Lepisosteus oculatus: one gene and its partner. The protein of the gene in region 2 purifies or fractionates together with the protein of the main gene of each other region. This does not show direct contact. Links are inferred from orthologs where the notes say so. Each region holds a gene or a part of one and is shown on either strand. Other genes may lie near its edges. The genes, in order: dnaJ homolog subfamily B member 6 and mlf1.

Evidence for each region.
Region 1: the proteins of mlf1 (region 2) and dnaJ homolog subfamily B member 6 purify together in Homo sapiens (affinity purification with mass spectrometry; 3 studies listed by BioGRID and IntAct, counting the BioPlex papers as one, with this or other methods). This does not show direct contact. The link is inferred for Lepisosteus oculatus from reciprocal best matches to the Homo sapiens genes MLF1 and DNAJB6.

What each region holds. Positions count from the first base shown.
Region 1 is NC_090701.1:12,327,614-12,338,449, reverse strand, and holds the start of dnaJ homolog subfamily B member 6, read right to left. Parts: upstream 4,419-10,836; 5' UTR 4,273-4,418; intron 1-4,272. UniProt on the Homo sapiens protein: Has a stimulatory effect on the ATPase activity of HSP70 in a dose-dependent and time-dependent manner and hence acts as a co-chaperone of HSP70. Plays an indispensable role in the organization of KRT8/KRT18 filaments.
Region 2 is NC_090708.1:6,457,603-6,468,534, forward strand, and holds the start of mlf1 (myeloid leukemia factor 1), read right to left. Parts: upstream 4,639-10,932; 5' UTR 4,491-4,638; coding exon 4,444-4,490; intron 1,575-4,443; coding exon 1,418-1,574; intron 1-1,417. Other genes in the region: rsrc1 (serine/Arginine-related protein 53), read right to left, coding at 6,800-6,892, 10,325-10,459. UniProt on the Homo sapiens protein: Involved in lineage commitment of primary hemopoietic progenitors by restricting erythroid formation and enhancing myeloid formation.

The DNA of each region.
Region 1 (10,836 bases), on a different chromosome or scaffold from region 2:
CAACTCAGCTGGCAGCCCTGAAATGGGATGTGAAGTGCAGCCTAAATCAATCCTGGGTTTTGAGAATGAGCATCCACACGCACGTTTTGCACTACTTTTGTACTTTGAGCGCCACAATCAGAATAATGTCTTTCCTTTCAAACTCAACCAGTGAATAATCCAAGGGCTTGTGTGGCACCCCAACGCCACCGCACTGCAAGTTGGGGTTTCAATGCTTTTCAACCCACAATTTTTGCCAAACCGATTATCACTTAGACCTTGCAATAATTATAATAGTGACAGAGTAGGTTGAGCAAAAGCATAATCTTTCCTCACGATTTGCAGGCATGGATGTGTTAAGGTGGCTATAATATTTGCAGTGAGCACTGACTCCAGGACCAGGTTCATGCTAATAGATGAATAACGAAAGATGGCAGGGAGAGTGAACAGCTGGACAGGGCGGCAAGTGAAGTAATTAATCTACCAGTATGTTGATGGACTGGGGGAGGAAACCAGAGCACAGGGGTGCAGTGGATAGCATTACTGCCTCAGTTCAATTCCTGCCCTAGGACATTATCTGCTTGGAAAACTGACAGATGTTCTCTAGGTGTGAGACTGTGTCTGTGCGTCTGCCCTGTGTCCCAGTCTAAGTGTACCTTGCCTTGCACCCATTACTTGCTTGGGTCAGCTCCTTCTCCCCCTCAACACTGAGGTGGGAGAAATAGTGAGAAAATGGATGGGTGGACAATGGCTAGACCGCTGCAATGTTAAGCAAACACAGGCGTCCCCCGCTTTTTGCGGCTTCCGTCTATGCGAATGCGCTTTTACGCGACTGACCCCCTTAATGCAAAAAAAAATTCATTTTTACGGGATCTGTGGCGGTAGAGCAAATTCCCGCGAAACAAGCTATAGACCTGCTTCTTCCCGCCAAAGCCTGCCCAACGAGTCGCTCCTCTTTCAGTCACGCACTCGCCACCGCGGTTTGCGGGTCTGAGCTACTTATGCGGCGCGTTTGCCATTTCCATCTGTTCCTGCTATAGCTGCTGCTGTTATTTTGGAGTCAAAATCAGCACCCACATCTCGGTCCCCTGAGCCTTACGGTCTGCCTATTTTGGCGAGCATTGATTTATTTTTAGTTAGAATAATGTGTCAAATAACATTTACGTTAAGTTTAGTTTTAATTCCTAATGTATGTCAGCATGTATTTGTATGATCCAAATGCATTTGGAACACTACATTTAACACCGTTCCACACAACCCCTTTTTCCCCCCTGCAGGGTTAAGGTACCGCTGATGCGAGGTTTTCGTGGAATGTAACCTTCCCATAAAACGGGGGACGCCTGTACAAGTCCAGCCCCCCCTCATGTTAGCAAGACAGATAAGCAAGGTCAGTTCTGTACTTCAGGGCTCACTCGCTTATCTGCTTCCAACTCACAGTGTCCAGACAACGATACAACAGTACAGATAAGCAGTAGCCCACGCTAATGTCCACCAACCACTTGTGTAACATGTCCAACACATAATCCCTCGATCACAACGCATGGATTGTGACATCAAAACAGATGCCCCTGAACCAAAGGGATTCCCATCCCTAAAACTGCTGCTGCTGTTTTATTTAACTGGGATGCAAGTCTCAAGATCTTGCGTCAGGACAGAAAGTCTGTACATCACTGACAGAAGTCCAATTAGTTAATGTGATGTAAATGACAGTTCAGTGCAAACAGATCACATACCTTGTCTAAATTACATTTCTGTTTATTCAACAAATGTGCAATCTCAGAATTATACTTCTTAAGTCCATTTCTGCTGTTTCTCCAACATTTTTTTCAGCTTGTTTATAGTTAAGAAATTAAGTAATGCCTCTAAAAGGTAGCCTTAAACACAGGGAAAAAGGTTAAATACGTCATGACATTTTATAAATTATATATAATTAATGACCAAATAAAATAAAAGTTTCTGGGTTCACAATCCTCTTATCTTCCAGACAAGGAAAGAGCAGATCTGGTTTATTTCCTCATGTGACCACTCCATTAATCACGGTGCGCTTTATCATTTCATGAAGGCAGCTGGCCCAACACACAGATACAAAGGCCTCATCTCCAACAGTCCTGAATTACGCAAACAAGAGAGCATCATGCAGGTCAATACGCTGACTTTTAGACTATAGCCTTACTCCCCTGAAACCGAAAGTCTTGATGGAAGGTCCTTCTCTCACAATCCATCACACTGTATGATTTTATGTTAAAAGCGGGATAGGATTAGCGTTTGCAACTTTACCACCATCTTTAGAACTGGTGCAAGACAACCTATCTTTACACAACCAAAACTACCTCTCAAAGATACTGGCAAGCCAGCTACTTCATACGTAGCCAGCAAACTATCTAAGTGTCTATGTTAAAGACATTCAATACACTTTGAAGTGCTTGCTCCAGAAACCAAACACAGATCTCAGAAGCAACACTTTTCAAATGGCTTGAACAGAAATATACCATTTGCTAAGAAACTGTATCGCTGGGTCTCATGGCTGTGTGTGTAATATAGGCACCAGTAACAGCAGCTCTTTCCTAATAAAGCACAGAGGGGACTTTAGAAATGAATCCATAGATTGAGTGCAAACCTGTTGAAAAGTAACACATTTAAAGCACTGTAGCAATGGCTTTTCTGTGCCACATGCACAGGGTATTAAGTGGATTAAGAGGACATCCACAACCGGGAATGTATTCTGGTGTCAACCGCAGCTCACTAAAGCGTACTCCCTCATGCTAATACACGAGCAGACGTTATGAAAATCTTGAAATTTGCTTAAATCAACACAAATGTCCCCTACAGCTATTCAGGTTTTTTTTTTTTACTGTAGAAAAGTCCAAATAGTGACAGCTCAGCAGCAGTTTTACCTAATTTCACACGCGGTGTCAAAACTAGACCGGCACACACATTTTTCAAAAGGGCAGAAGTAACTCTTCCTCGCCCCGGATTCGCACGGAAAGCTCTCCCGGCGTCAGCAAAGGAAATGTTTACAAATCGAAAATAACAACAGCCCTAAAGCCAAAGAGGGAACTGAAAAGAAGAGCCACAAACCGAGGGCCGTGTCTCAGCATTTAACAAATCAGCCCATCACGAAAAGTTCAGGTGGATGCCACTCATTGGTGGTGGTGGAGGGGAGTCCCCATTACCTGTGAAGCGTTTTGAGTGGAGTGTCCAGAAAAGCGCTATATAAGTGTAACCAATTATTATTATTATTATTATTATTATAAGTCACAGACTGTAAACTACAGCCAGCCTCACGTGTACTCTGAGGAGAGGGAAGGAGAAAGTGCCCCATGGACGCAGGGGCAAGACTACCTTCATTTGAACCGGCTAATCCAGTCCAGGGACCAGGGCGACAGGGATACACGGTTCTCGGCGCCTGCCGGTGTGGACAGGGGGGGTCTTTAGTGGGGACGTCCCCACACTCATCCAGACACGCCTCGGTCTTCGGTGCGGATTGAAAACACCGGTGTACAAAGCCAACCGCAGGCGGGCCCAAGCCGTGTAGTACCTCCCGACACCGCTTGCCTCGCAAAACAAAAACACTGGTTACGTCCAGTTTTGCCTTTATGCCCCGCCGACATCCTAAGAGCGGCCCTGTCAACAGCGATAACATTGCTCACAGAGAGCAGCAGGTACTGGCGTTGGTCACTGGCCGCGGTGAGGGGCAGCGACACCAAAAACACAGTCACCCCGGGTCGACCCGGACCTGGGTTCACCCAGTGCGGTCCGTGCTGCGAGGTTTCTCTTTGAGAGGTGTTTTGCTCGAAATGGGGTTCCCAGCTCACGCACGTACTAAATCCAATACTCGCATCTAAGAGCAATTAAGGGACGACGCGACTCTTCAATCATGAAATACTTCACAGCAGAACCGGGGCGGCGGGGGGAGGGAGAGAGAGAGAGTGTCTACGAACCCACCATCCTCGTAATCAGGGGAGACCCCGTGTTTTGAGGGGGACACTTTCCTCACCACTATCCTGGAGGACAAAAGATCCTCCCCCCCCCGCCAATCTCTGCCGTTTTCACGCTTTCGGGGTTCTAGTCATACAGACTCCGGGGACCGACCCCCCCGGATGAACAACCCTCCCCCGATATCGCTGCGACACGCACGGGCATATATTTCTCTGGATCACATCTTAACCAGCTCGGCAAATGTATTCAGAGCACGCAGTATTTGCACTCTCCCTTCGCCATCCTCCACGACGTGCACTCACTACGCACAAACGCAACCGTCGGCGGTCAGGACAACATCAGACACAGACTCACCTCCCCGTTCGGCTACCAAGACCTCCCTTTTGTTGCTGTTGTTTTATACTGTATAGTGTACGTTTTGTACTCTAAAGGCGCCGCACAAGAGCAACTTCTGGTGCCCCTGCTTGTTCCTCGGCACTTGTAACGTCACTTCCTGCTACAGCCAAAGCCGCAAACTCTAATGGGGGGAGGAGGGGAATTTATCTTTGAAATGTTCTGGAAATTTGTGGTTGACGTGAACCGGCGTCTGCTTTGTCGTCTTTAATGTTGTGGTTAATAATATTTATTTTGCCAGATCCCTTCATACACAAAATACAAACGCGCTACCCACATAAAACCATTTCCAGAATGTTCTGTAGTAATCAAAATAGGACGGACGTGTACTGATGTTCTTACCTGTGGTATTTGTGAGGCATTTTGAGATTTTTGGATTAAGAGTATAGAAGAATTACCCTTTATACGTGTGCTTTAATTTGTGTGTTTCTTACGTAAAAAGTATAGCATATTGCAATTTGTGTGTATTACAGCACAACAGTATAGTATTGTGATACACTAGTGTAGTACTATACAATTTACTATAGTGCTCACTACAGTACGTTACTACAAGGCCTACACTATTACAGTCACGTTCTGTAATATGTTGTGTAGTACTATAGTTCTGTGCTTAATAACCACACAGGTTGATTCTTGCATTTGTAGATTGTTTTTCTTATCAAAGGATTGTGGATTGTAAATTGTAGAATTAATCTATATCGATGCCATAGGAATACCATGTATTATATACTGAATACACGTTATATACTTATATAACATGGGTATGTCATATATACTAATACTTTATAGTTTATGGACATAACAACTACTTGCATGGAATTAATCTATATCAATGCCATAGGAACACCATGTTTTATATACTGAATACACGTTATATATTATATAACATGGGTATGTCATATATACTAATACTTTATAGTTTATTGACATAACAACTACTTGCATGGAATTTGGTTCAGTGAGCACATACAGAGGTTGAGCAGAGTGGGAAGGGTTGGCTAGGATCTTAGAGATCAGAGAATTCAGAGAATTTTGTGTTTCAATTTCAAGAGGCAGAGGGAAGGTGGCATCCTTTAAATTTGGAGGCGATATACAGTACATGACTTGTCCTGGGCAGAAGTGTTGCCATACCACGCAGTGAGGGAGTGAGGGAGAAGCTCAAAACACTCTCAGTGTGGAAAAGGGTCATTGCTTCTTGTGACACTCCAGAATTCTTCAGCTGTGTCAGGAAGAACAGCCTTTGGTGAGCTTTCTTGACCAGGAACTTAAAATTCTCCACCACGTCCACAGCCTGACCAGTGATGAATAGTGCTCTTTTGCTTTGCCTAAAGTTCTTTTATTTTGCTGACATTTTGTTCCAGTTTGTTTAGGCTACACCAATCAATTAATTCAGCTATTTCATTCCTGTTTACTGATTCATCATCGTTTGTGGTGAGCCCTACAGGAGTAGCGTCATCAGGAAACTTGAACATTTTTTACAGAATCTGAATGTGAAATACAGTCATTTGTAAACAGAAAGTAAAGCAAAGATGATAAGACACAACCCTGATGAGCTCCTGTGCTCCTAATACTCATAATACAGTAATACATGTGCTATAGTGTGTTAGATATACTGTAGAATAAAAACATATTCAATTTACAGTGCAATATTATACAGCACTCACAGTATTCATATAAACATTATATATTTTGCTTATACATTATTTTGCTTAAAATGTTACTTCAGTAAATGTCAACCTCCTATACCTATCAACTCCACCACATTTTGGAATAGTAAGCTTTTATAACATGGATAGCACAATACGTAATGCACGTCTTTATGCTGGGATATTCTCTAATAGAGTAGTTTTATATTAGCATAACCTTTAAGAGCCAGAATTAAAAACCGTCACAATAGTTTTAATTTCTGTAGATTTTAGATATAGTGCCATAGAAATGCTCTCAAAAAAACAAACAGACACTATTGGTTCTCCTACCTTGCATAGCATTATTAATGCATTTCTGTATATGTTGTACATTTACTTTAAAAAGATTATAAAATAAAAAATCACAAGAAACACAAACAATTAAATTAGAATAACTAAAAAGAAATACAATTGACTTACTCACAGGAACACCTTTTCAAAATAGATTTTAAATGTTGACAGCTGCATAGTCCCTATATGAGTTGTGGGGATATTTAAACTTAAGTTTTACAAGATATGCTTGTACAGTATAAGGAAATAAGCAGTGGATGTCAAAGGAACATTAATACATTAAGTTAACAAAGTTTTTTATGCATTCCCAGTTAAATTGAATTTTATGATAAAATATTTAAAGTATAAAAATAAAATCTAAACACTACATATTGTATGGTACAGAACTTCAAATTTGCAGTAGTTAATAAAATGTTAGAGAATGGCTTTGAACCAGGGGTCAGAGGACCTCAGAAACACAGGTAGACTTTTCACCCATTTTCTTACTCTTATATAGTGCTTTTCTGGACACTCCACTCAAAGCACTTTACAGGTAATGTGGACTCCCCTCCACCACCACCAATGAGCGGCATCACCTGGATGATGTGAGCCAAAGTGCAGCCAAACTGCACCAGTACACTCCAGCACACACCAGCTATCAGTGGAGAGGAGAATACCGTGATGAAGCCAATTCATAGATGGGGAGTTTTAGGAGGCCATGACTGGTAAAGGCCAGGGGGGGAATTTAGTCAGAACTCCAGGGTAGCAATACTACTCTTTCTGAAAACTACTTTATAGTGGCTTTATGATTTCAGAATAAATGCACCTGTCCCTGGAATGTTCCTCTGTCAGGCAGTGAGTGTGAAGTAAAGATTCAACTATGAAGGCCTAACAGAAACAACCCTATCACTGAGACACTGCCTAGATCAGACTATACCGTTAAAGCAGGTGGGCAAGGAAGAAAATGGTTCAGGATGTCATCGTAAAGCCAGTTTTGACCTTGAAAGAGCAACAGACTTCAATGGCTGAGATGGGAGAAAGCTATCCATGAATCAATATCTCAGTCTCTCCACAAAGCTGGTCTGCATGGCAGAGTAAAAGGAAGGGAGCTATTTTTGGTCCAAATGCAAAGCGAAATATCTAGTTGCCTAGTCAAAGTCACAATTTCAATCTAATAGTACATATGTAGCAAGACTTGAAATTGCTGTCCTTTTTCAATCCCTGCCAACCTTACATCGCTGCCTCCCAGCTCTGGGGCCCTGGGTCCTGGATTTGGGGTATTTTCAGTGTGGAAAACTTTCTGTGTGTTTGTGTGTTATCCATGTTTTTGTGTGGGTTTCCCCCCGATGTTGTGGTTTCATTCCACAGCCCAGAAGCATATTGGTAGGTTAATTGACTAAGGGTGGAAAATACGCCCTAGGTGTGAATATGTCTGCCCTGCAATGGCTTAGTGTCCTTCTAGGATGCATCCTTCCTTATGACTACTGCTTGCTGAGATAGGCTCTGGCTCCTTTGCAACCCTGAACTGGGTCAGACCCCATGTTATCCTTCACAAGGAAAATTGTCACATGTTCAAAGCTATCAAGATTGTTGATACCAGTTCAAATACAAACTTCCTATGAAATCTGTCATGAACACTTAGACCTCTGTCACAAAGGCACAGACAGCTTCTTTTGTTTTCCCTTGAGGATTGTTATTAGCAATGAAAAGAGAGGCTGCCACTGAGATCTTAGAAGAAAGGCGATCTAAGCAGCATCTCTAGAAATGTTTTCAGCAATCAGTTTGTGTGACACTGACAGCTTCTGCAACTGGAATTCATGCCACAGAAAATATTTCTCACTGCCAAAAGCTATTTGATGAAGAAGTATTTCTGTAATGCAATCACCAGAACAGTTTGAGAACAACCTGGTTAAATGTCTCCTTATTCTTCATGACAGAGCAAAAGTCACGTAAGGTTCAATCTGCCATTAGCAACTGTAGTTTTGAGGAACTGAATCATCCACCATACAGGCATTATTTCACTTTCAGGGACTGTATATTTTTTCTTCAGAAGTTTGAAATTTGAAAAGGTTTGGTGGAGAAGACCATTTGTGAAATTGAAGAAGTATGTCAGTGTGGGTTGAAATCCACTTCTGTTCTCAGACTTGGTTCTAGAATACAGAATTCAAAAAACAATAACTAGACCAGGGATGCTGTTGACAAATAATGGAAATAAACTGCAGCTTGGTTTAGACAGATTACATTTTTAGTAACCCTGCCCCCCATATGTATTTGGCTAGGATTTCAAATCTTTTCATAAATTCAATCAAGGCTATTTTAAATAATTGAACCTCCCCTGAAGCACAAATGCATGGGCATTCATAAGTAAATTCCAACTGTCCAAACTGAATTGACTGTCCAAATGAAAAAGAATCATCCTTATTTTTCATTGAAATGTGTTGCTTAAGAAAGCAACTGAAGACAACTATTCAGAAACACATGGAAACAGCAAAACCCTACTACCAGCCAGCAGCCATATCACCCTGTAACTTACAACTTGTAACCCACTGCTAAGCAGGTGTGAACCTGGTCAGTACCTGGATGGGAGACTTCCTAGGAAAATGTAAGGTTTCTGCTGGAGGAGGTGTTAGTGGGGCCAGCAGGGGGCGCTCACCCTGTGGTCTGTGCGAGTCCTGATGAGGACACTATACTGTAAAAAGGTGCCATCCTTCAGATGAGATGTAAAACCAAGATCCTTACGTTCTGTGGTCATTAAAAATCCCAGGACATTTCTCAAAAAGAGTAGGGATGTAACCTCTGTGTCCTGGCCAAATTTCCCATGGGCCTTTATCAATCATAGCCTCCTAATAATCCCCTTCTATGAATTGGCCTCATCACTCTGTTCTACTCCCACTGATAGCTGATGTGTGGTGAGTGTTTTGGCCCAGATCGGTGGTGGTGGAGGGGAGTCCTCATTACCTGTAAAACGAGTGTAGTGCCCAGAAAAGCACTATATAAGTGTAAAGAATAATTATTATTATTACTAAATTTAGAAACACTTAATGTTTAATTGTGTTCCAATTGGCCTGTGATAAAAACTCAGCCCACTACTTACATTTCTTGTACCACGGTTCATCTCTGCCTAGAAATTACAAAACCAGGGAGACAGTGTCAGCAGTGTTAGAGAAGGTGACAGACAAACAACTCACCGAAAGAGCACCACCTGCTTTATAAACAAGGATGAAACCAAGGAGCTCATTCAAATCACTCAATGCCATCTGCTGTCAAGGTCTCAGAATTGCAGCTAGAACATTTATAGTCTGAGCTGTTGAGGATAATACAATTTAATTTAAGCTTTTCTGTTTACAATATGATTTGTTTTCTGTTGAATACATTATGATGATGTGTTTGTTCCATGTACTGTACTTATTACCTTCCTGTCAGGTACTTACACATGCTGATGTACTTACTTTCTTCCAGCCTTGTACAAGACACTAAGAAATATACATATTCAAGCAAAAATGTACTGTAAATAAACCAAAACAAATGACAAATGACACAAAATACTGTATGAAATATCAAATATAATTGCCTTTGGAAAATAACACATTAAATTCCTTAATCCTTTTTAACAAAATAAAGCAAGATGCAGAAAATTGTGATTTATGTCATTTTGAACAAACAGGAGTGAACCTCATATCACCATGGAGCTAAGTATTCTGTACATACATAATATAGTCTCTACTGTATGTGCATAATGTATGGCCTTCTTCAGGGCTACTTTAGCCCAGGGGAAGAGGAGTTGTTTTTTTTCAAGGAAATAAAGTCTTTAGTTCATTTTGGTTTCTGTTTCAGGTTTCTGCCAACAGCATCCTCTATGTCATCCTACACTGCCCACCCTAAGGGTTTCTGTAGGTGTTCCAGGTCGTATTTATATTTCTTTCACGGCCTACAGTTTTCTTGCAAACAGCTGGGTGAACGAGCCCATATAATCTCAATATTTTTATCTGGATACTGTAGTGCTCTATTTTTATTCCAGATTTTCTTTATTGAAAAAAACCTTCAATGAAAAACATTCAACTACTGGGCCAACTCAAGGGAACAGCTATGTATTTACCCAGCAATACTGAAAGATTGAAGTTACTTACTGCATCACTATTCTAAGGTCCTTACCATATTTTTGAACTCTGCAAAGTGTTAAAAAATTGAGCAAAATATGTATAGAAAGAATTAATTCAGCATTCTTGTCTGAATATGCTGAATGGACGTCTTCCTTAAAATAACGTTCTGGAAATGTTTGTCCAAACATTTAAGATACGGTTGCTATTTTAAGTGTATGTTAATAAATTCTTAACATATAGATAACGCTACAGGTATATAGTAGAATTGTACAGTACAGTCGGTTGTGTCCTTAATTGTTCTCTGCACAAAGAGGAGTTAAAATCAATATGATTCTTGTGAGCAGGGCTCTCAGAAATGCAAACGGACACTGGGTCAATGAAAATGATGTATGTCTATTAATTACATACATTGTGGCGGTCAATATCTAATTAGGCCATTGTGAAGGCATATAGAAGCCTCTCTAAGCCAG
Region 2 (10,932 bases):
CCAAGAAAACAGTATGTATTCATGAGGAAACAAATTAGTTTAACAGAAGAAAACAAAATGGAAGAACAATTGGAAGAAACATTTTAATAAGAATACTGTCAGCAGAACAATGCAGCTCTCGGCTTCTATAAATACATCCAGCTAAAGATAACTCTGATCTTAGACGAGCTGGGTGTTGAGCAGCAACCTTCTCTGACCCCTAGATGACAGACTTTTGTGTTCAATAAGGCCTATAAACCACTTCTACTATTAGGTTACAGGGTACAGCAATTACTCTCCTTGTCCTATTTTCTTTTTGTGTGACCCAAGAACTCTGCTTCATGTAACATTCTTTTAAAAAGAGAGAAAGTGCAAGCCTTAGACATTTCACAGTAAAGAGAAGGCAATGAGTCAAGAAAATACTGAAATAACAATACTTCTGTATCCTATGTGTACTTTTCTGTCTATGGCAGATCAAATACACTTTTATTTACACTTTTTACAGAGGTAAATTATGCCTGACATTTATAACATGGACAAGGCAGCTTTTGTAAAGAGTAACTATCAACATTTATCATAATAGGCATGCCTTGGAACTCTCTTCAACTGCTACATTTTAATGTGCAAAAATAAGAAGATGAAATGTTTTCTGTCTTCTCCAAAGCATTTTATTTTAAACAAATTAAACTACTACTAGGGTATTAATTTAAAAAAAAAACTAAAGAAGCCTTTTAATGTCATAATTCATGTGATTAAGATTGTGACTGAGAACAGAATGCATTGATAAACCCAATACCATTATCCAGGGATGCGAGCTGGCTCAGGTGTCATGTATTACTGAGTAACTCCAAAAAGGACGTTTTGAGATTACTAGCGGCCAGAGTTCTCAGATTTCTCCCTGACACATTTGATAAGGAGTTTATGAAGGCACAGGTGTCATGTGTCATGTGAATCAGTCTCTATAAAAATAGGAACACGTTTAATTCCACACTGAAAAAATCAAAGGGAGAAACAACATTTTGGCTGTTGAGCCTTCTTGGTGTGTCAGGTGTGAGAAGAAGGCAGGACGGCCGAAACGTTGCATTTCTCCTGTTTTTAACGGGGTGAAATTAACATTTACTTCTTCCTTTGCAGCCAGCGCATGTTGACACAACTCCTCAGTCGACCTACAAAAAACAGCCACGTTTTGAGAAACAAAAACAAGTCTCAGACGTTCCCATTTCACCTTATTTTGGGCAACACATCAGTCGGTAAGAGCTACTGCACACATCTGACAGTAGCTGTTACAGTCCTCTCAGAGCATCTATGAGGAGGCTGTAGTATTTGATTTGATATACATAATCCCTACAACGTGACAAAGGATTTGAGGAAACGTGGAGCGTGCTGAACGAGGCACTGTCGTAGTGTGTACAACTTGAGCTGCTACTGAAGCTCTTACCCTGTGTCCCTCTCTTAATGCCATGCTGGCGTTCAGGTTCCCCCTCTGATTTCCGGTTGTCCCATCAGCGATACTCAGGAAAGGGTCTCTGCCGAAGGGCTCGGAGAAACTCCTCATCATCTGCCGCACATGTTCATTGTGTGCTCGGAATGGATCGCTATAGGGGCAAAAGAAAAACGGTAATGTCTACATCTGCATTTAAGATCAAATTAGAAAATGAAAACCCTTAAGGGCCGCACTAAAGTGTGATTACTACTAAACTCTCCTACACGGCACTCATTTACATAAGATATTAAGTACAGATAATTAACTGGGCAGACTGGGAAACTGCGTGGAAGTCAGCTTCTTGTCCTGTGGCCTCAAGTCTGAGAAACGTTCAGTACTGAGCCAGGGAAAGTAACTGCCAATTCATGAGAACGTGTAGAATCTAACAAGTATGAGTGCATAAATAACACAACACTTATGCACTAGTTACATGTTTAGTAGTATCTGTTACTGAAATCTATATAAACAGCTTTCACTAGAACACTTAAGAAAGACAACGCCGTTTTAAGTATGATTCTTTCATTGTAGTCGAGGTATAAGTATAAAAACATGTAAGCCTATTTTTCAGACTGATTTTGCAAACCTTTCCACAAATCACTGATCAAATAGCTGAATACATAAAAGCTTTTGCTGAAGGCATTACTAAGCAGCATGGCTGATGCAGGGAAATAACACTCTGAAAGAAATAAAACTGGAGCACATTATTCTGTTGTTATCAAGTGTACAAATCAGCTTCAATACACAAAGCGAAATTCCAGAACTGTGATTATTTATACAGTAAGATAGTAACACAACCAAAGGGCTTGGCAAGTAAAATCACAAGTAGCGTACTTGTTGATAAATATCTCAGACAGTGTTTATTGATTAAAATGCAACAATCACAAGGTTAATAATTTGTCATGAGAAACACAGGAATCCAAGTATGTTCTAAGTATAGAAATCAATAAATAAACAGGGACTCAACTAGGGGGTTTGAAGAATCACATGGCATTCTTTAATGAAGTACTGTACATACCACCGGTAGTTAAACAGTCATGTTGTTTTGTTACTCTTTACTGTATATCTAAGACGGTTGGACAAAAATAAATCCACATCACAAAGCACCTCACTACAGTCACTGTTTTTCAGACGCAATCCCTCCATATCATTTTGGAAGCAGTTTATCAAGAAAGTAAGATTATACGAGATCTCAAGTATGTACTGTATGCACTTTGTATGCATTTTGTATGCATTTTATTTCAAAACAATAATAAATCTCTACAGCTAGTGCCACAGCTTTTGCCATTGTATTCAATATTTAGTAGAAAAGTTAACAATCTAGCAGCAGTTGTTAGCCAGTAGAGAAAAACTCCCTCAAACAACCAGATTCCGAGCTGTGAAAACACATCTCTTGACCACCCCTCCCCCAAGGAGTGATTTCAATAAGAGTCTTATCCTACATCACACTGCTCAAGAGAGGAGGTGCGCCACAATACTAGTAACTGGACTGTGCTTATTTAGGGGAATATGTTAACATGTAAAGACTATGCCATGATCTCATACACAAGAAAAGATGGAGTAATATATTATTATATGACGGATATATTACGGGGCAGTGAATCAAGAGTTCTAGGTTCACATCTGGATCGTCCGTGTGAAGTCTACATGTTGTCTTCTAGTTCATGTGGGTTTTCTAGTTCTATTTGGCCTCTGTATGTTCTGTGGTGGCCTGGAGTCCTGTTCATGGTCCAGTCCCGTCTAAAGACCTGCACCTACCAGGGAGGTTTGCCCTGACCATCTAAGGATAAGGCAATAATTAAAAAAGGACAGGTGAAAGGATATACTGTACTGTACAATATTCGTGTTGGCTGACTGTAATACCCACAAGTGTGGCAAAATGTTAATGAGCCACTAAAAAAAACATGTTGAATTTCAAAACCTGTGTGTTTGTAGGCATTGATCTAGAATTGCTGTTGCGCATAAATGTCAAATTTAATCTGAAATAATGCACGTCAAATAAAAAAGTTTGATATCGATTTAAAACAAACTACATTGGCAAAATCTCCTAAAAAATCCCTATCCTTTTATAAAAGTTGTGCTCCTTCCTACTTGCGTCTTTTCGGCATACATAATTGCGTGCATTTTCGAGGTAAACACTGAAATCAAACAACCTTTAACTGCAACTGCGGAGTGTGCACTGTGGAAAGCCTGAAGCTGATGGGGATTCTTTAATGGTTGAGCATGGGCACTGAAATTCTTTAAAACTGCAAGCGTTCTGCTAGAAATGATGCAGACTATTCCAATACTACTCGCTAAACAAATCTGTCATGAGTTCAAAGCCACGTGGGCGCTTATAAAAATAATATCAGCTAGTTTTATTTATTTTTTTTAAAGTCCATTCGAGAGAACGTGAAACCCACACAAATCCTCAGAGGGAAGTATGCAGGGATCAGCAATCTTATTTCAGATGTAACCCGGGGCCCCATGTCCCTCCCAAGTCATTGAAAGGCCTTGCCTAGCATGTTGCATAGTTACGCCAAAAATACTGCAAGAATCCGGCGTGTGAAGCCCGACAGCAATAATGTTTAACTTGTTCTGTTTGTTCCCCCAAATGTAGAGCGCAAATCCAGCTCCTTGACACCTTGTGCATGGAGCGCTGGTTTTACTTAATTGAAGACAAAAACGACAGATTTTTTATCTTCAGAAACAAACTTAAAAACTCGCTTTAAACGAAGCCAATAATTCAATAAGCATGCATGCACTTGTCTTGCTTCATTCTGCGCTTTTTCGTCCTTAACAACAAAAATGTAAGAAGCATTTAAACTATGCATTGCCAGTAGAGTAGAATTATTTTGCAGTTACAAATACACAATACTTATCTCAAAATGACCTTTTTTCAATTTTTTAATTGATGTACTCTATAAGGCACTAGACCTCAATACACGTTTACAGAATGAAATCTCTCTCTAAAAAAAAGTCGCAGTAGCCTGAAAGTCGCTTACGCAAAGAATGGATCTTCCTCAAATTCCCTGAGAGTGCTGTTGAACATTTCCGATCCGGGCTGTCGAAGACACAAGACACAGACGACTGACCTGACCTAAACCTAAATTAGCGTGCCAAACTTATCCGCTGCTTCAGGTCGACGAGCGCACCAGCCTTGAGTACATCAGAGAACCGCAGACGCCAACCGCAGACACGTGACTGCTCTCCGGCCCCCTGATTGGCCAGTTATTCTCAGAATTTACTAGAGCGCTGCAAACGCGCAGCTCTCTTAATAGAAGGGCAATGTTGTGGACCGTTGCTATAGCAGCGCAGGCTTATGGCAAAATCTAGAAATCAAGCATTTTTCTCCCGCCAGACGTCAAGTGTGATTTGTTTTCGATTGAATAAAGGTCTTGTATGTGCACAACTACATTTTGCTTCAAATCACAAACTTTTACCGTAAGCAAAATGTAAAATTTGCTACATTTACTGAGAAGAATTAAGTTTTTGCTACATCTTTGCAAAGAATCAACACTCACTTGAGGTGCAATCTAAATTTCTCTGTCTGACTTTGGTGCGTTTAAAAAAAAGGAATGTGGGCAAATATTAACATAACCATAAGTATTTGATTCCTGCACAAGGTAGTGTTATTCCATCAGGAGTACTGGATTTAAAAAAGTTGATCCATAGACTATAGAACTGTTGCTCAACTGGGAAGAAAACTACATTCCAGTCCACCACTTACAGCAAGAACCTGGAATTCTCTGGAGGCTCCAAAATGCCAGCAAAAGGGCCCCAGTATGCTCACCACACACCAGCTATCAGTGGGGAGGAAAACAGAGTGATGAAGCCAGGTCAGAGATGGGGATTATTAGGAGGCCATGACACCAGTGTTTACACACCTCCTCCTTTCAGGAAATGCACTGGGAGTTTTAAAGACCACTGAGAGTCAGGACCTCAGTTTTATGTTGCCTTTTTAGAGTTTAGTGACCGGGTCGATAGGACTCACACAGACCACAGTGTGAGCACCCCCTACTGGCTCCACTAACACCTCTTCCAGCAGCAGCCTTGCCTTTCTCCCCTCCAGGTACTGACCAGGCTCACACCTGCTGAGCTTCAGCAGGCTGCCAGTTGTGAGTTGCAGTTTGATGTTGCTGCTGGCATTCATGCCCATTTGTTTGGAATGATAACTAAGAAAATAAATTCCATCTCTTCTTTCTGATTTCTACTTTCCTACCTTGCATGTACCTTTCAACCATTTCCTCCAGCTGTTCCTGTGTCAGCACTGTGTTTAAAGAGTGAATTATGAGAAACTGCCCCTTCTGAACATGAACACCTCTCAGGACACCTGTGGCACATTCGTTCAGAATGCACCAATTTCTTTAATACGTGTATTGCAAATGTCTAAGCTGTAAGAAATGTTAACTGTTAATAGACGAAGAGCCGGTAAGAAATCATGAGACTATAATCCACTTTCAAAGGGATTTTGATTCAGCCGTGAAGAAGAAACTGGTCAACAGAGGGCTATGCTCCAGGGTTTCCCACGGTCTGCTAGCTTCCAATCCAGCTGGCCTGTCAGTGGCTTAAATGAACCCTAAATGGAATTAATGATATGACTAATTAGATCTTTTTAATCATTTTATGCTCCAAAACTGTTTTCAAGTTACTTCAAGTCCAGAACTTAAACAATGACAAATGCTGTGTGTTAAATGTGTAATGCATATAACTTGCATTAGGGGTTCAAGTAAAGGATGCTAATTTGAGACAAAATCCGGCAGAGGATTGGGTCATGAAGTCCTGTACTGCACATCTTTTCCTATATGGTATTAGAATGCTAGAAAATTCTGGTATCATAGGTAAACTAAGATTGCACAACCTTACATTTTAAATACAACCTCCAGTTCAATGAAGCTAGACATGGAAATTAATAAATGGCAAAAAAAGTCAAGCTTGAAATGATGTGCAGAAAACAAACATCAAAGTTAAATTTGATTTTCAACAAATGTGATCCACTCTGGATCTGAGCGACAGTCTGGTTCTTAATATGTTGCACATAAAAACAAAAACCTTAGTTTTGGAAAAACTAGATTCCCCGGGTTTGGATCTGCGGGTGTAATTTAAACTAAATTTCAATTTGCAATAATGAGTTTTATTCAGTAATTTCAAAATAATCACAAACACCACAAGAAAATCTAAGAAGGGTACCTTCTGTGTTATTTTTTATTTCTAAATTACAAGGTGAGAAATGAACTTATACAAAAGAAAAATACACATAATTTAAGAAAACGCATTCGGGATCTTGAAAATGAATGCTGTTGCACTTCAAAAGCACGCGGAAATATTGCCAGGTTTCAATAACACAGTATCATCAAGGGTTCAGGGCACAGGGCTGCCCATCAGCCTCTCCTGGCGAAGGGACATCAGTCTGTAGAGCCACATCTCCTCTGCTTCCGCCTTGTCAATGAACAGCTGCAGGAGGGGGAGAAAGAGAAGAGCTCAAGTTAACACCGCTGCTAAACCCTGCTCCAGCACTGTGGCAGTTTCAGTGTGACAGACTTCAGCTTGGTAGACCTGCAGTGGCCAATACTTTTCTCGGAGAGCCACAATCCAGCACATTTTATGGGTCACCCCTTCCATTCTGAACTCCTCAACACGTGATGCAGTTTCATCTGAACCACTCAAGTAGGCGATCAGTTCAACTAAGTGGATCAGAGACTACGTGAGATGAAAATGACCACATCTAGTCCCTCCAAAGCTATACAGCTGGCCACTTTTTACACATGGAGGATGTTAAGGTGACTGAAAAGACCTGTTGGATTGTGGTTCTCCACTGCATGAAACCTACACTGAGTTTTCTGAGGCTGGGACAGTTCCTAGCAATAGTGGACACTTTTTTAAATAACACTTGCACCACGGACAAACCATTCAGAACATTTGTTAAGATGGAAGGGGGGGTTCGGAGGCACTGTGGCTAAGGATCTGTGCCTGTGGCTGGAAGGTTGCCGGTTCAAATCCCGTGGCCGGCAGAGGAATCCTACTCCATTGGGCCCCTGAGCAAGGCCCTTAACCCCAGCTGCTCCAGGGGCGCTGTATAAATGGCTGACCCTGCACTCTGACCCCAAGGTTCTCTCTCCCCACATCTGTGTGCCTGTGTCTCTCATGGAGAGCAAGCTGGGGTATGCGAAGAGACAAATTCCTAATGGAAGAAATTGTATATGGCCAATAAAATGATCTCTCTGATCTCTTCTCTCAGTACATTCTCTCATCCATTCAGGTGGAAATGGCACCTTTGCATCCTTCCTTCAAGGATGCAGTGGGATCCAGCCTTGATACAATGTTTTTTCTGTGTATCCTCCAGCACAGACACTGCTACACTCCAGCCACAGAGAAGCTGCCGAGCCCGGCTTTAGCTGTAGGCATTAATATCTGCTGTAGGCATCTGTGTACTAGAAATCTGAACTGTGGCTGACACCTGCTGATATTAAATAGGCAATTCCACAACAAAATCACAATCTATGAACTTTCCCTTGCAATTTAACAACTTAAACACAACCCGAAAAATTGATGAAATGTTGCATTAATTTATTAGCAGTGAACTGTGCACATGGTTTAAAGCAGCGCAATGGTGAACAGCTGGTTCATGTCCTGCATCATCGACAGCTGTTCGTTTAGAACCAAACATAGATGCATTTGTACAGGACTACATGAAAGCTATGGGAGTGATTGCTACATTTCAAAAGGCAGCAATTGCACTCCAGTTGATAGAAGTACAGTATACAGGGTTTAGGATTACACAGCTCCCAAGAGGCAATGCCATTCAAACTTGAAGGCAATAGCTTTAAGTGAGCACAGCGGCTCAGTGGTTAGTGTTGCAGCCTCGTAGCTCCAGGGCCCATGCCGTAGCTCCAAGTCTGGCCTCAGGCATTTGTCTGTGTGGAGCTTGCATGTGTTCTCACCACAAAAGCCCCCACTGGGCGTTCTGCTCCCCTCCCGCATCCCATACATAAGCAGGCCAAGTTTTAATCACTTTTCTAAACTGTCCTTTGTAGCAATGATACACTCAGCAGGGATCTTACAACCATTTTTCAGGATCACAGTAAACTTGTGGGAAACTTCCCTGAGGTTTCTATTGCCTTTCCATGAATTCAAGCTCTCAGATTTTAAATTTGCATTGGGGAGCTCTTGCATTGAGCTCTTGGAATTGGGAAGATCAGTATACTCAAATCACAGAGCTGTAAAAGAATTTGAAGGCACATGGCAGAATTTTCTTGTCAGAATTGAACACTGATTACACTAATTTTAAAGGGCAGATTTAAAACACCTCCAGCTCAAAACCTCCACCTTGTACTAACAGTCTGGGAGTGATATTGTATATTATGAATTAAAATGCATCAAGAAATTCAATTGCACCCTTTCTGTACTACCTCTTTTGTATGTGCTAAACCTCTCACTGGATAAGTCAAGTGGCTGTAAAATGTATCATGTGGCTGATGACTGCTGGAGAGAGCTCTGACTAGGAACCACAAGTATATTTAAAAAAATGCTTTTAATATTGAAATACTTATACACAGCATTTAAAATAAATGCATGTTAGCAATTATTGAACGTGACCTGCCTTTTGAAGTTTGAAATATACGTTTCATGTTAAAATGCTTTTGTCTGTATATGAAGATGTTTTATCATTTTATAGAAATGAGTCTTATTGAGAATGAACTAAGTCATAGATGAATAGTTTGGCCAAAATAATTGTGTTTTACATATTCAATTTACGGTCTCCAACATTTCACACATGTATATTTTGGTTCAAAGAAACACCTTGAAGCATATTATTTATTTTCTATAGGAAAAGGTGAAATCTAAACTGAAAGATATTATGTCAACTGTCAATATGCGTACTTTACAAATTTGAAATGATGAATACAACATAGCACGTTTTGCTACCAGAAAGTGCCACACATGCACAGATTCAGTATATGTGCTTTACATATAAAAAGGATATAGCATATAAAAACACAAAATAAACCATAAAATTAAAATTGCAGTGCATGAGTGAAATTATTTAATTATTATCCAAACTTCTCCTCCCTCTCCCTTAATATATTGCTCACATAGATCACATGTAACTAAATTTTAAAACATTAAAACATCCACTCTGCTTCGTATGACTTTGGCTTTATTGAAAATGTCTGGTGATCTCACAGCCCATTGCATTTCATCCAAGAACATTCTACAGATGACAAGAGATACTTTATTTACACATTATTTAAATACATTGATACTCTAATTATTTACACTAGATAATGTTAAAAAGCAAACAATGTTTACATGTGCCAAAGTGTTGTTTATCTACCCATATGTACTGTATATCGAGAGGGTTCAGTAAAAGATGAGCACTTTTCCAGTTTGCCCTTAGCACTACTCTACCCAAGCCTGTGATACAAATACAGTTTGTGGGCTGTATAACGTGGAGGAGCTTGAAGCTTCTGCACAGAACTGTAGTGAAATATGTAGGGACTCATGAGAAGTTTGAAAACCTATAAAAAGTACAGGACACGCCTCCTCAACATCATCAAAATCAAAGAGGAGGTTCACAAAATACAGAGGGAAAGAATAAATTGGAACATTGTGCATTTAAAACTAAATATAACTTTTTCCCCCCCAGATATTCTCTATATGCATACAATATTGAAATGCAAACAGGTTTTTACTTTTTGATTTGTCTGTACCAAACATATCAATGTACATCTGGATTTTTGCACTAAATTGACATTTAGGTGCAGTTCATCAGGGGTCTGAATAATAATTCAACAGCTGTATACTGTGTATGTTGCTCATTTCAGTTTGATAGGTTAAATGCGTGGATTTAACCCTAATATAGACCCATCTGATGCATCTACTCACATTGGGATGAGCCAGGGAGTCATTCTCCTGGTACCGGATTGATGTAGGGATGCTGCTGACTTCGTGCTGCTCACTTTCCAGCCTGGGCAGGTCCACTGATTCGGGGTCTTGCTTGATTTCTACAGTTTCAACCACCTGTGCAAAAACAGCAATAAACAGTAGTGTTTTAGATTATGAATATATTAATATTGTACAATAATGTACTATATGTGAGTTATATTATAAAACCATAATATACTGTGCTACGATATTAATATAGTATTAGATTAAAAACATACTATATTATTTTACAGGCATCATAAACTTGGTTAATGGGTTAATCCAATTCCCAGTTCTTCATTTTTTCCCCCAAGAGTCACCAGAGCCCATCCTATATTTTTCCTTGCATAAATGTATTGCTTTATTCTCTTGACCTGCTATTTCTGATTATTGTATATTTCACATAACTATAGATCATTTTAAGAATTGTATATTATATATATATACTCTAAAATAGTTTGATAAAGAGCACAATATTATTTTTGACAATAAAAACATAAAATATGAATTTAATGTGTAATCCAACATCATGCTGTTTGTTATCCTTGAGGTGGCAGTATAAGCAAAGA